3 linked regions of the Macaca fascicularis genome follow. The protein of the gene in region 2 interacts with the protein of the main gene of each other region in a pairwise test. Links are inferred from orthologs where the notes say so. Each region holds a gene or a part of one and is shown on either strand. Other genes may lie near its edges. The genes, in order: FAM114A1, RAB2B and GARIN6.

Region 1 (3,722 bases), on a different chromosome or scaffold from region 2:
CATGCTGACTTTTTGGAAGATCTTTCCACTATAAACTTACTCCCCAACCTACAATACCAAAGCGGTAATAAGCAAAGACTAGTTAGCTAGCAAACTGAGTGTGCTGAGACCTGTGTGTGTCCATCCCTGAGTATTTTCAGGGGCTCTATTTTGGCTCCTGTGTCTGTCTAATAACATGAGGGTACTTAGGCCTACGTTAATTTTCCATATCACAGTATACAGTCATGTGCATAAAAGGTAAAGGCTTATTTTTCAGCTCCATACCAACTATTTTCATGAATACTCCATATCAACTATTTTCATGTATATTCACTAGATTGCATATTCACATGTGTTACGTATATATATATATTTGCATTTTACTTAATAAACTAATGACAATAGCTATTATTTATTGAAGAACATGATACAGGACAACACATATGTGCACACATACCACCCAAAAGTGAACTGGTTAATATTAGCGACCATCATCACCAGAGTTCGGAACATGGAGAGCTGGTATAAGTCCCCAGGATCAGTGGAGTATATTTGCCTATTTTGTGACTCTAGCTAGAAGTTACATTAAAGTGTCCTTTCTCTATTCATATATATGTTGGAAAAGTAATTACCCTCAAAAGGTTTTACTTCTAAGACTCTGATCTATTAAATAAGCACTTTCATGCCTCTGAATGATTTAGTGTGTTTTCCCTTAAATCTCTTCATAAATAATTCCTAGGATGGCTAGTTAAGTCTTCTTCTTCTTGCTAACATAATGCATTTGTTAAATAAATCCTTATTTCCGGCTGGGCATGGTGGCTCATGCCTGTAATCCCAGCACTTTGGGAAGCTGAGGCGGGCAGATCATGAGGTCAAGAGATGGAGACCATCCTGGCCAACATGGTGAAAACCCATCTCTACTAAAAATACAAAAATGAGCTGGGTGTGGTGGTGTGCGCCTGGAATCCCAGCTACTCAGGAGGCTGAGGCAGAAGATCGCTTGAACCTGGGATGCTGAGGTTGCAGAGAGTTGAGATTGTGGCACTGCACTCCAACCTGGTGACAGAGCAAGACTCTGTCTCAAAAAAAAAAAAAAAAAAAAAAAAAAAAAGAAATCCTTATTTCTTAAGATGACCATAGAACAATGGAATTGGTTCACTTGAAATTTGAATATTTGGTCAGGTATGGTTGCTCATGCCTGTAATCATAGAACTTTAGGAGGCTGAGCCAGGAAGATTGCTTGAGCTCAGGAGTTCGAGACCAGCCTGGGCAACACGGCTAGGCTTTGTCTCTGTAATTAATTAAAAAATTAGCTGGATGTGGTGGTGTGCACCTGTGGTCCCAATTCCTGGGAAGGCTGAGGCGGGAGGGTGGCGTGAGCCCAAGAGTTTGGGGCTGCAGTGAATCATGATCATGCCATTGCACTCCAGCCTGGGTGATAGAGCAAGATCCCATCTCAACAAAACAAAAAACAAAAGCAAACAAAAAGAAATCTGAACCTTTTAGTGGCTTAGAGGGTGTGGGTGTGTATGTGTGTTTCTGAACGGTACCTATATATAGAACTGGGAAAATAATAATTTAAAGTAACATTTATTTACTTTATTAGAACTTTTGCTTGGTCCTGAGCTGGTTTTTCCTCTTCTTGTCCATGAAGAATTAATTCTGCTACTTTATGAAGCTGCTCAATACAGCGCGCTGTTACCTCTGCCAGACTTTCAATGGACAACATGTATACTTCCTGAAATAGATAAACACAAGGAAGAAATTTTTTACTGAGCAGATGTTTTTTTTTAAAAAATGCTGTGACATTAGAAGTGATATAATTCTTTCAAAAATACCACAAACATAACATGAAATTGTTAACCTGAAGACTACGAGCATATCTAAGACTTTAAGTGTAATGCTGCCAGAAAATGGAGGTGCCGTCAGGGCCCCCAGGGATGTGGCAAGTCTGTTCACAGCTGCATCCCCAGGGCTTACAGCAATGCTGGGTACAAAACAGGCAGGTGCTAAAGACGGTGTGTGGAAGGCTGGCTGAATGAACAGAGCTCAATGGATATTTTTCTTTACAGTGATCTAATCACTGCAACCTCTACCTCCCGGGTTTAAGTGATTCTGATAACTCACTCTCCCAAGTAGCTGAGAGTAGAGGCACACACCACCATGTCCTGCTAATTATTTTTAGTATTTTGTATATTTAGTACAGACGGGGTTTCACCATGTTGTCCAGGCTGGTCTTGAACTCCTGACCTCAGGTGATCCACCTGCCTTGGCCTCCCAAAGTGCTGGGATTACAGGCTCGAGTGACCGCACTCAGCCAAAAAGTTACTTTCTTCAAAATTAAAACTCAATGTAAGATGAAGTTACTACAAACTCCTTTATTGAACATAGGCAGGAAATAAATTATGCACACATAAATTTATTAAATTACAGAATAAAAGCTATGGCAATGAATTTTTTTAAAGGCTTCAATTACCTCATTAGTTACAGGGCATAAAGACATTTTATAGTAACACATTTGCATATAAGATGAAATTCTACTCTAAAGATAAATCAACTATGTTCCTAAAGATTTTTGTCCCTTTAAATTATAATTGTAAAGCTATGGAGAAAAGTGACAAAATCTGTGTTAAACCATGAATTATCTTGGCATAGAGAAATTTCAGTGTTTATTGCATTCCTACTTATATTTCTACAATATGGAACAAATGAAAAACAAATGGCCTCTCTTCAATTAAAATTAAGCTGCTAATAAAATGAACACACTCTTATTACCTTGTAGGTGGACACTCTAGAATAAATTTACCTCTATGGTCTTAGTTCTCTTTTCCTCCTTTTTGTCTTCTTGAGGGTCTTGAGGTTTCTCTTCCTTTTCTTTCTTCTTTGTTTCCTCCTCGGACTCTTTTGCCACATCTACTGACACCACGGTCTGATCCTCTTCCACCCAGTCATGAGCCTTCTTCATGGCCTGCAAAGGTCCCCAACCAAACAACCCTTTTATGGTGCAAATATGGAACCTAAGTCATTCCAACCCCAAGACAAGAATCAAGTGTCTCTAAGCCTTCAGGAATGGATCTCCGTATGTTTGGAGGATGACGGGGCAATTTCTCAACCCCCTAAAAAGATAACCTTGTTGTTGCTTTCTGGCAAATATAAAGTAGAAAAAAGGGACAGAACAGAAAGTATGGAAAGAACAATGCAGGCCTGAGGACTCTTTAAAAAGCATTTAAAAATGATATTCAGATAAGAATAAAAATGACAGTCACATTGAAAAATCTATAGTATATTTTTCACTTTTCATGACCATCTATAAAAGAATAATAGTACTTTTAAAAATATATGTTAGAAAGGCTCTGCGTTTCTTGATTCATGACAGGTCTTCCACCCTCAAGGGGGAGAAGAGAAGGGCTGCTGGAAAGGTCTGGTGCTGCTCTGTGTCTAATTTCACACGAGTGCAGTTTACGCACTCTGTGCCCTACAAAATCATGGTTCAATTAATCAGAAACCTCCTCCCCTACCTGTTATTCCCTGAATTTAGAACGAAAGGGCAGACTCACTCCAATTTTATCATTATAGTTTAAGCTGTTTGCTTAAGTAAAAGTTGTTTTGGGGCTTAGACTAAACCTACTTCCCACCTTAAATCTTACACGCCAAAGTTAAAAATATCAGAGTGTTGAATGGTAAGTTAACAGCAAGAAGATCTGGGGAGAGAAAACCCAACAAAACTGGCCTTAGTGTGTCCC
Region 2 (4,059 bases):
TACACATGGAATCATCAGTAATGATTCCCTTGCTAGAGTAGCAACCAAGACGGGGAAGGAGAAAGCGTTTATGTATAAAAAGGAGACATTTATTTTCCATGCTATAAATTTATAGTTTGATTTTATTTTTACTAAACTAATATATTACTTGGACAGTTTACAACACAAAGATATAGCATCCAGAATTTGTAACTGTAACAGATAGAATTAAAAGCTTCTCTATCTCGGCCGGGCGCGGTGGCTCAAGCCTGTAATCCCAGCACTTTGGGAGGCCGAGACGGGCGGATCACGAGGTCAGGAGATCGAGACCATCCTGGCTAACACGGTGAAACCCCGTCTCTACTAAAAAATACAAAAAACTAGCCGGGCGAAGTGGCTGGCGCCTGTAGTCCCAGCTACTTGGGAGGCTGAGGCAGGAGAATGGCGTGAACCCGGGAGGCGGAGCTTGCAGTGAGCTGAGATCCGGCCACTGCACTCCAGCCTGGGCGACAGAGCATGACTCCGTCTCAAAAAAAAAAAAAAAAAAAAAAGCTTCTCTATCTCTTTGATTTCACCTTTCCCCTATTTTATCCCCACTATTAGTCCCACCCTCATTGCCCCTTTCCTTTGCATTGGCTTTTCTTACTATACTTGGATGTTGGTCAGAGACTAAATTATTTTGTACTCTCACCGTATCCCAGATTTGCAGTTTGATTTGTTTTCCATCAATGTTGACCATACGAGCTCCAAACTCCACACCTGTTGGTAAAGACCAAGAGAAAGAATGTGATTCTCATGAACAGCAGCCATGTGGAGTGGGAGGAGGTTCCTGCCTTTCCTCAATGTGTTATACCCATCCTTTAGTCTGAACTCAATGCCACTAATTCCATTATTGCTGCCTATTTGCTCCAATTAACTTTGTGTTTCTCAAGGTTCTTCATTTCCCTTCTGGAATTAAAAAATTGTGCTCTAATGACCTCAGGAATGTAACCAAAAAGCACATATGGGAAAACAAAACCAATTAAGAAGTCAAATTTAAAAGGGTAATTTTTTAGCAATGTCAGTTAATGCTTAAATTTGATTAGGTAACATTTAGTTTTGTAACTTTTCCAAAAAACTCCTAAAAATTCTGGAAATGCTTCCTGACACTTTCTCGGTCACTCTCTAGTCTCTATTTAAAACAATATTTATTTTTTTGTAATTCCAGATTTTTTTCTTTAAGAAAAGAGCCTAAGAAATAGGTTCTCAGAAACAATACTTTTTTTTTTTTTTTTTTTGAGATGGAGTCTCTTGCTTTGTCACCCAGTCTGGAGTGCAGTGGTGCGTTCTCGGCTCACTACTGCCTCCACCTCCCGAGTTCAAGTGATTCTCCTGCCTCAGCCTCCCCAGTATGTACCTTACAGGCGCACGCCACAACGCCCACCTAATTTTTTTTTAACAATACATTTTATATCTCCAATAATTGCCAGAGGAACAATTAAGCATTCTTGCCTTGTTAAGCATTGTATCATTAGCCCCTATCACAAAGTAAGAATTCACTCAATATTCCCTTTAAAATACCTTTTGGTTGATACTGCCTTCTAAATCCTTTTCTAACCCCATCAATTATTTGACTCTAAATAAATCCGTTAGAACAGTGGTAGCTTCAGATTTCCACACAGGTGTGACTTGGAAGTAGCAATATTGTAAGAATGGGGATGTAGGAGTTTTATTTAGAAACTGCATTTGCATGGCAACAAAGCTAGTTTCATATATGTTGTTTATTTGGACTGGGGTTATGGAGATAATGAAGAGGGGGTAGCTAAAAGCCCCTTCAGGCTATGCCTTATCACAAATGTGTGGGAAATGTTAATATTTTCCAGGATCCCCAGTGGGTATGAGGAACTGTTTAACACACTGTTTTATTTAAAAGGAAAGTTTTTAGTTTTATTTGCCTATTAATTCTAAGGCAGGGATGACTCTTCAATTTGCTTCTTCACCAATATAAAAAATGTCCATGTATTGGTGTTTACTTTTTAAAAGTAAGGCTGGTATTAATTTACTGCAAAGCACAGATGAGTTTACAAATAAGCAGTTATGCTTTCGTGGGATTTTCCATAAACATAAAAAATTGTACTTGAAAAAAATTATATGACAAGTCTCTACCTCACACTCTAAAAAGTTACCTTTCAATTATATACTCTCCCTTACACTACTCGCCACATATCAACGTTTGATTAACCACTTCATTAACATAACTTTGGACTAGTTTAAAGTAGTGAGGGATAACTTTTTACTTTGAACACTGAAGGCTGCTAACTTTCCACTTTAGCAATTTAGCTAGTCAGGTTTTATCTGTTCTGGAACAAGTAGATGCACTTACCTATTGTGAGGTCGTGGACAGGCTGGAACCGCTTATCTGTAAACTGCAGGAGGAGACATGACTTCCCCACACCTGAAAGAGAAAACACGCTCCCAGAGTCACGTAGCGCTGGAACACTACCCGGACTCTGGACTTCCCGGACCAGAGAAGCGGGGGGTCCCCGAGCCCCGCCCCTGGCCGCCCCGAACCGCCCCGCCCGTCTCGAATCGCCCAGCCCACAAAGTGAGCCCCGCCCCCGCCACCCAATTTGGGAGCTTCGGACGTCCGCCCCAGCCTTGAAGGCGAACAACCTGAGGGTTACCTGTGTCTCCGATGATGATATACTTGAAGAGATAAGCATAAGTCATGATGTCGCGTCCTCTGGGTTCCGGGTCCGCCCGACTTCTACAGCCACTTACCTCCAACCTCTCTAGCCACTCAATCTACCGATCTTCTTCTTCCCGGCCGCCCACCCTCTCCGGCTCCTCTAGCCCAGATCACGTCTCTATTGCTCTCCCCAGAAATCCTCCTTAGGTCGGGAGTACCCAACGCCACCTCCAGGGACACCTCTAGTACTTCTACATGCCATTATCCCTCCAAGCTCCAGGGGGCGATAGGCCAGCGCCTGACTCGCTGCAGCCCCCACGGCGCTCCTTCCAATGAGCAGAGAGTAACGCACGTCCTTGCGGAAGTGACGGCAGTTCCGAGACCAGTGGGGGCGGTGGGAGCGATGAGGGTCTGAGACGGTGGGAGCGGTTGTGTGAAGATGGAGGTAGGAACCTGATAGCTAAGAAGGCTGGCGAGAGAACGCGGCCGACCGGGTTGAAGCAGAGACGGGAAGCCGGGTGGAAAGGCGACTGACGGGAGAGGAGAGAGAGCGGGGTTTGGGGAGTGTTGTCAGAATGTCGGGGTCAGAAGCCATCGCTCCAAGCTAATTCCCTGCTCCCCCTAACTTATCCCCGCGGCTTTCTTTTGGTTTCCAGTTTCCCGGAGGAAATGACAATTACCTGACTATCACAGGGCCTTCGCACCCCTTCCTGTCAGGGGCCGAGGTGAGCACGAGCTGCCGACGCCGCGGGGGGAGGGCCTGAGGCCGCGGTGGGGTAGGGTGGTGGGGAGGAGAGCACGCACTCCAGGGACGGGGGCTGGGAACCAAGGGCTGCAATTGGTGTTTAGAGAAAAGTGGCAGCTGCTTCTGGAGCCTATGGGGACTATCTGGGGAAGTCTTGGGAAGTTGCTGTCATCAGAAAAGCAAGCTATTGGAAAGAGATAACCTATTTAAAGAGAAAAGTGATTCTGGATTAGAAGACAGTGAAATTGTCTCCTTTCTCTGGGGAGAAATAACTACAGTAATCTTAAAGGATCGCAGTGGGAAGAAAATTTTTCAGCAGCTGAAGAAACTGGGGTGAGGGGAGGAGCTTACCTAGCAGAGGGTTGACCGTGGAACAGCATGTGTTCATTCCTGTAACGAACTCTGTTGAAGGGGTCTTTTTAAATTTGTTTCATTTATATTTCCTACTGGTTTTGTTTTGTTTTGAGACAGAGTCTCGCTTTGTCGCCCAGGCTGGAGTGCAGTGGTGCGATGTCGGCTCACTGCAACCTCCGCCTCCCGGGTTCAAGCGATTCTCCTGCCTCAGCCTCCCGAGTAGCTGGGATTACAGGCGTGTGCCACCATGCCCGGCTAATTTTGTATCTTTAGTGGAGATATAGTTTCACCATATTGGCCAGGCTGGTCTCAA
Region 3 (4,442 bases), on a different chromosome or scaffold from region 2:
GCCTTTGGGAGGCCGAGACGGGCGAATCACGAGTTCAGGAGATCGAGACCATCCTGGCTAACACGGTGAAACCCCGTCTCTACTAAAATACAAAAAAAATTAGCCGGGCGAGGTGGCGGGCGCCTGTACTCCCAGCTACTCGGGAGGCTGAGGCAGGAGAATGGCGTGAACCCGGGAGGCGGGGCTTGCAGTGAGCTGAGATCCGGCCACTGCACTCCAGCCTGGGCAACAGAGCCAGACTCCGTCTCAAAAAAAAAAAAAAAAAAAAAAAAAGACCAGCCTGGGCAATATGGTAAAACCCAATATGGTAAAACCCTGTCTCTACTAAAAATACAAATTAGCCTGGCATGGTGGCATGTGCCTGTAGTCCCAGTTACTCAGAAGGTTGAGGCAGGAGAATCACTTGAACCCAGGAGGCAGAGATTGCAGTGAGCCAAGATCTCGCCACTAACTCTAGTCTGGGTGGCAGAGTAAGACTCCATCTCAAAAAAAAAAAAAGACTCAACTATGGCTATGGCTGTGTGTGTGTATATGTGTGTGTGTGTGTGTGTGTGTGTGTGTATGTTCATATGGGTTATTATGTGGATTGTTTTCAATAAAGATATTATAATCTTATTAAATTGATAATATTTATAATACCTGGCAAAATTCTTTAGAGCTTTTTTTTTCAATACAATCTGATGGTAAAGAATAGAGCATAAATGTGATGTTTAAGGCTCTTTTCACTCCATAGCCAGGGTACAAATGTCTAGGTAAAAGCTTAAAAATTGCATCAACAGTTTGAGGGTGAGTCAAAACATAAAATTTATCATGGCTGTAGAAACAGAAAAAAAAAATTGCTAATAAAATAGCTTTTTACCTGGTAACAGAAATAAACTTCCCAATAAAAATAGAAATTATAAAGAAAATGAAAGTTACACCTAAGAACTTTAAACATTTCACTGAACATAATTCCATACCCACAAACACATACACATGGTCTTACATAAATTGAATCTCACCTATACTATGAGTTTGAAATCAGTTTTTCTCTTTTTCTTTAAGAAAAAAAAAAAGGTTAGGGATATCTTTTCATGTCAATAAATAGGAAAACCACATAATCATTTTTAGGGCTGTAGACTGTCCCATCACAGAAGGCTCCATAATTTATTTAAGCAATCCCCTATTGTAAGACACTAATGCTGTTTACAATTTTTTACTCTACAATAAACATTGATAAACATCCTGTACTAACGTGTTTACCAATGTATTCAATTCTCTCTTTAAAATAAATGTCTACGACTAGAGGAGCTGGATAAAAGAGTTGACAGAGAATGTATATTAAAGTCTTGCTTCTCACAGAAAATTTACCTCTAATCTTTTTGAAAGCAAATTGCCAGAATGCATTAAGGTCCCCAGATGGGTGGAGGGTCGGGGAGAGTGGTCTGCTGAGCTGTGGAGAGTGGTGGGGCTGAGGGTGGGGTGGAGAGGGTGGTGTCCCTGCCCTGAGGTAGGGGCTGTTGGGTGACAGAAACAAAGGGGTGTGTGATGGGGCAGGTCACAATGGGTAGAGGAGGATAAAAGTGGTCCTGCAGGGTGGTTTAGCAGCAGCGGATGGTTCAGGTTGGGAAGAAGAGCAGTGGGACTGCCAGTTCAGGTTGTGGAATCAAAGAGCAAAGGTTGTTGTGAAGTGGAATATCAGGCTCAAATGGAAGTCCCTCCCAAATGAGCACTGACATCTGTGTGCCTGGATATCCACGAGGGCTCCAACATCTGCGCTCCTGACAGCTCCATGCACTAAACAGGGCACAGTCTGGATCCAGGGGACCAACTGTCTCTGGCATTGAGCAGTTGGCAATCAATACCCCACCCTGTTCTGAGTCATTTGGGGACAAAAAAGAAAGCCTGTAGAACACAACTGCTGGCCCACCTGCCAGAGTGGCCAAGGAAACAGGATGCTCACTAAGGCATGTTAAGGAAGGTGTGGAGCAGCTGCTGGGAACTGTCTTGATAAAAGAAAGACATGGAGGAGCAGTGTATGTTACCGTATTACACTGCCCAAAGCAGCCCCGCAATGGGCATGTTTAATACCTCCATGGGGAAGCTTCAGCGGCAACTGTACAAAGGCGAGTATACTATATTCAGGTATGCACCCATGTTTGAGAGCGACTTTATCCAGATCAGCAAAAGAGGAGAAGTGATGGATGTGCACAACCGTGCCCGAATGGTAACAGTGGGCATTGTTCGCACCAGCCCCTGCCTCACACTACCTGATGTCATGCTGCTGGCCCGACCAGCTGCTGTCTGTGACAACGCCAGGTGTGGTCCTGCCACCCAGAAAACAGATAGTCCGCCTGCAGAGATCTTAGAACTAACCAGACTGCTTCCCTTGATGTTTGTGAAAATAACCATCCACAACAGCATAAAAAAACAGCTCCACCTGAAGCTTGCCACTGGCCGCTCTTTTTATCTTCAGCTGTGTCCCCCCTCAGATGCAAGTGAAGACCTTTTTGTTCACTGGGAAAACCTTGTTTACATCCTGAGACCACCAGTGGAGGCTTACAGTGGTACCAAAGCTATCCTAGCTGGGAGCACATCAGACTCATCTGTGTTTGAGGAAGTGCAGAGAAGCCCAGTGGTGAGTCTATGCAGAGACTAGATGGGGCCAGGATGCTTTTGGGGAGAGCAGGTAAAGGTCCTGTAGAGCCTTTGGTGTTGCAGCTCACCTGGGAAATGCATTGCATTTGGAAGGTCTGAAGGCCAAATGAGCTTCCATTTGGAGGCCATGGCACATTGAGGAGGTTCCTAGTGCTTCTCCAGTGTTCCCCAAACCTGAATTTCAGAGATTTCTTAGCTGTCAGCAACTTTTCATTTTATATTCACAGCTGTTCATTCTATATCCAATGTTGTAATGCTATCCAAAACATCCTGACCAGTCTATTCTGAAACCCATACTATGACCTAGGTAGGCTGATATGTTGTAGGACATGTCTCCCTGCGATTGCCACTTATATACATTGGTGGCAACACAACATGCTTGTGTACATGTGCAATACTTTATTTTTGTTGTTTACCTATAGGAAGAGAAAGGAGATCTTGCTGGTCTCACTTTCTTTGCTTATTTGTTTTCTCCCTAGGGATATGCCATGAAGTTCTGTGAAGAGAAGGAGCAATTCAGAATCAGCAGACTTCACATGAATGCTGAAATGTTTGGGTCCACCTATTATGATTATACAATAGAGATATGAATCCAACATACCTCCCACATATACTACATTCAAGAGTTCACACATTCCTGCAGTCATAAAACCTATAGTGCCTGATAAAGGGGCAGGTTAGCAACAACAGTAGTGATGACAGTAAGCACCACCGCAGGTGCCATGGATGTGGCTGCAACCAAGTCTGCAGGCTCAGAAGAGAAACACAGCACTGGCAAAAGCAGCCTTCAAAGGTCCAGGAGGAAGTATAGCCAGCATGGCTATCGTGGGTGCTTCTATGTCTTAATCTTGTTATAGCAAGGGCTGCATAGACATTCTTGTCCTAAAAGAGTACTTCAAGTACATCAGTAAGTGCTACTGGCCTCTCCCTAGAGAGCAGCATGAATGTGGTGACTACAGGAGCAGAGAGAGACTGTCAATGCAACAGCCTTGTCAGTCTCTCTCTGCTCCTCAAAGACTGACTCTCTGCCACTCAGCATTGGGAGTCAGTATCTCAACTCTGCAGGATGAGGCCACATGAGTGAATGGGATGGAAGTCAGAGGGTCTCTACCTAGCTGGATTGACTCTGCAGTAATAACCTCAAAGTCTGGTACTACACATGGTGCAGAGGTGGACATCTCACCTAAGACTGTGGAGGGGAGGAACATGATTCACCATAATAAAATCCATCAACTCATATTATCTGCTCTAATAACATATGCTCTATTGACAGGAAGGGTAGCAATAAAACTAATAGCAATTTATGATCAGGCTCTGAAAACTATCTTTAACTTTCCCTTAACTTTACATTTTTTATTATAAAAGATAAATAGATGACATAAAATTAATAGATGACAGAATAAAATGTTGAAGATTACTCTCAAAGATATGATCCTACATCAGAAGAATTCTTCTAAAACTATTTTCCAAAATATAAAATGAGAACCCAGAAACACACACACACTCTGTCTCCCTCTCTCTTTCTCTCTCTTGCTCCCGGTTTGAATCATAGCATTGCCACACATTAACTGTGACCTTTAGTAGACTGTTTCTTTAAATGGTCACCTTGAGATTATACATGTATAATATCTGGTACATAGTAGGCACTGTGTAAATGGTGGTGTTGAGAAACAAATTCTGAGTTTAATCATACTTTCCAGAAAGGGCTTAATTTTCCCAGTCTTTTCACTCTTGATTTCCTTTCTTAAATCTTAATTAACTGCTTTGCAATTGTCCCATAAAAGCTCTATTTACAGTAAATCTTC

Evidence for each region.
Region 1: the proteins of RAB2B (region 2) and FAM114A1 interact in binary tests that used the Homo sapiens proteins (3 or more experiments, as listed by UniProt). The two-hybrid records come from large-scale screens. The link is inferred for Macaca fascicularis from reciprocal best matches to the Homo sapiens genes RAB2B and FAM114A1.
Region 3: the proteins of RAB2B (region 2) and GARIN6 interact in binary tests that used the Homo sapiens proteins (3 or more experiments, as listed by UniProt). The two-hybrid records come from large-scale screens. The link is inferred for Macaca fascicularis from reciprocal best matches to the Homo sapiens genes RAB2B and GARIN6.

The regions. Positions count from the first base shown.
Region 1 is NC_088379.1:38,224,587-38,228,308, reverse strand, and holds part of FAM114A1 (protein NOXP20), read right to left. Parts: intron 2,948-3,722; coding exon 2,786-2,947; intron 1,718-2,785; coding exon 1,578-1,717; intron 1-1,577. UniProt on the Homo sapiens protein: May play a role in neuronal cell development.
Region 2 is NC_088381.1:89,150,356-89,154,414, forward strand, and holds the start of RAB2B (ras-related protein Rab-2B), read right to left. Parts: upstream 2,801-4,059; 5' UTR 2,689-2,800; coding exon 2,643-2,688; intron 2,414-2,642; coding exon 2,342-2,413; intron 739-2,341; coding exon 671-738; intron 1-670. Other genes in the region: TOX4 (TOX high mobility group box family member 4), read left to right, coding at 3,087-3,092, 3,304-3,372. UniProt on the Homo sapiens protein: The small GTPases Rab are key regulators of intracellular membrane trafficking, from the formation of transport vesicles to their fusion with membranes. Rabs cycle between active GTP-bound and inactive GDP-bound states.
Region 3 is NC_088385.1:106,655,141-106,659,582, forward strand, and holds GARIN6 (Golgi-associated RAB2 interactor protein 6), read left to right. Parts: upstream 1-1,585; 5' UTR 1,586-2,002; coding exon 2,003-2,617; intron 2,618-3,116; coding exon 3,117-3,227; 3' UTR 3,228-3,876; downstream 3,877-4,442.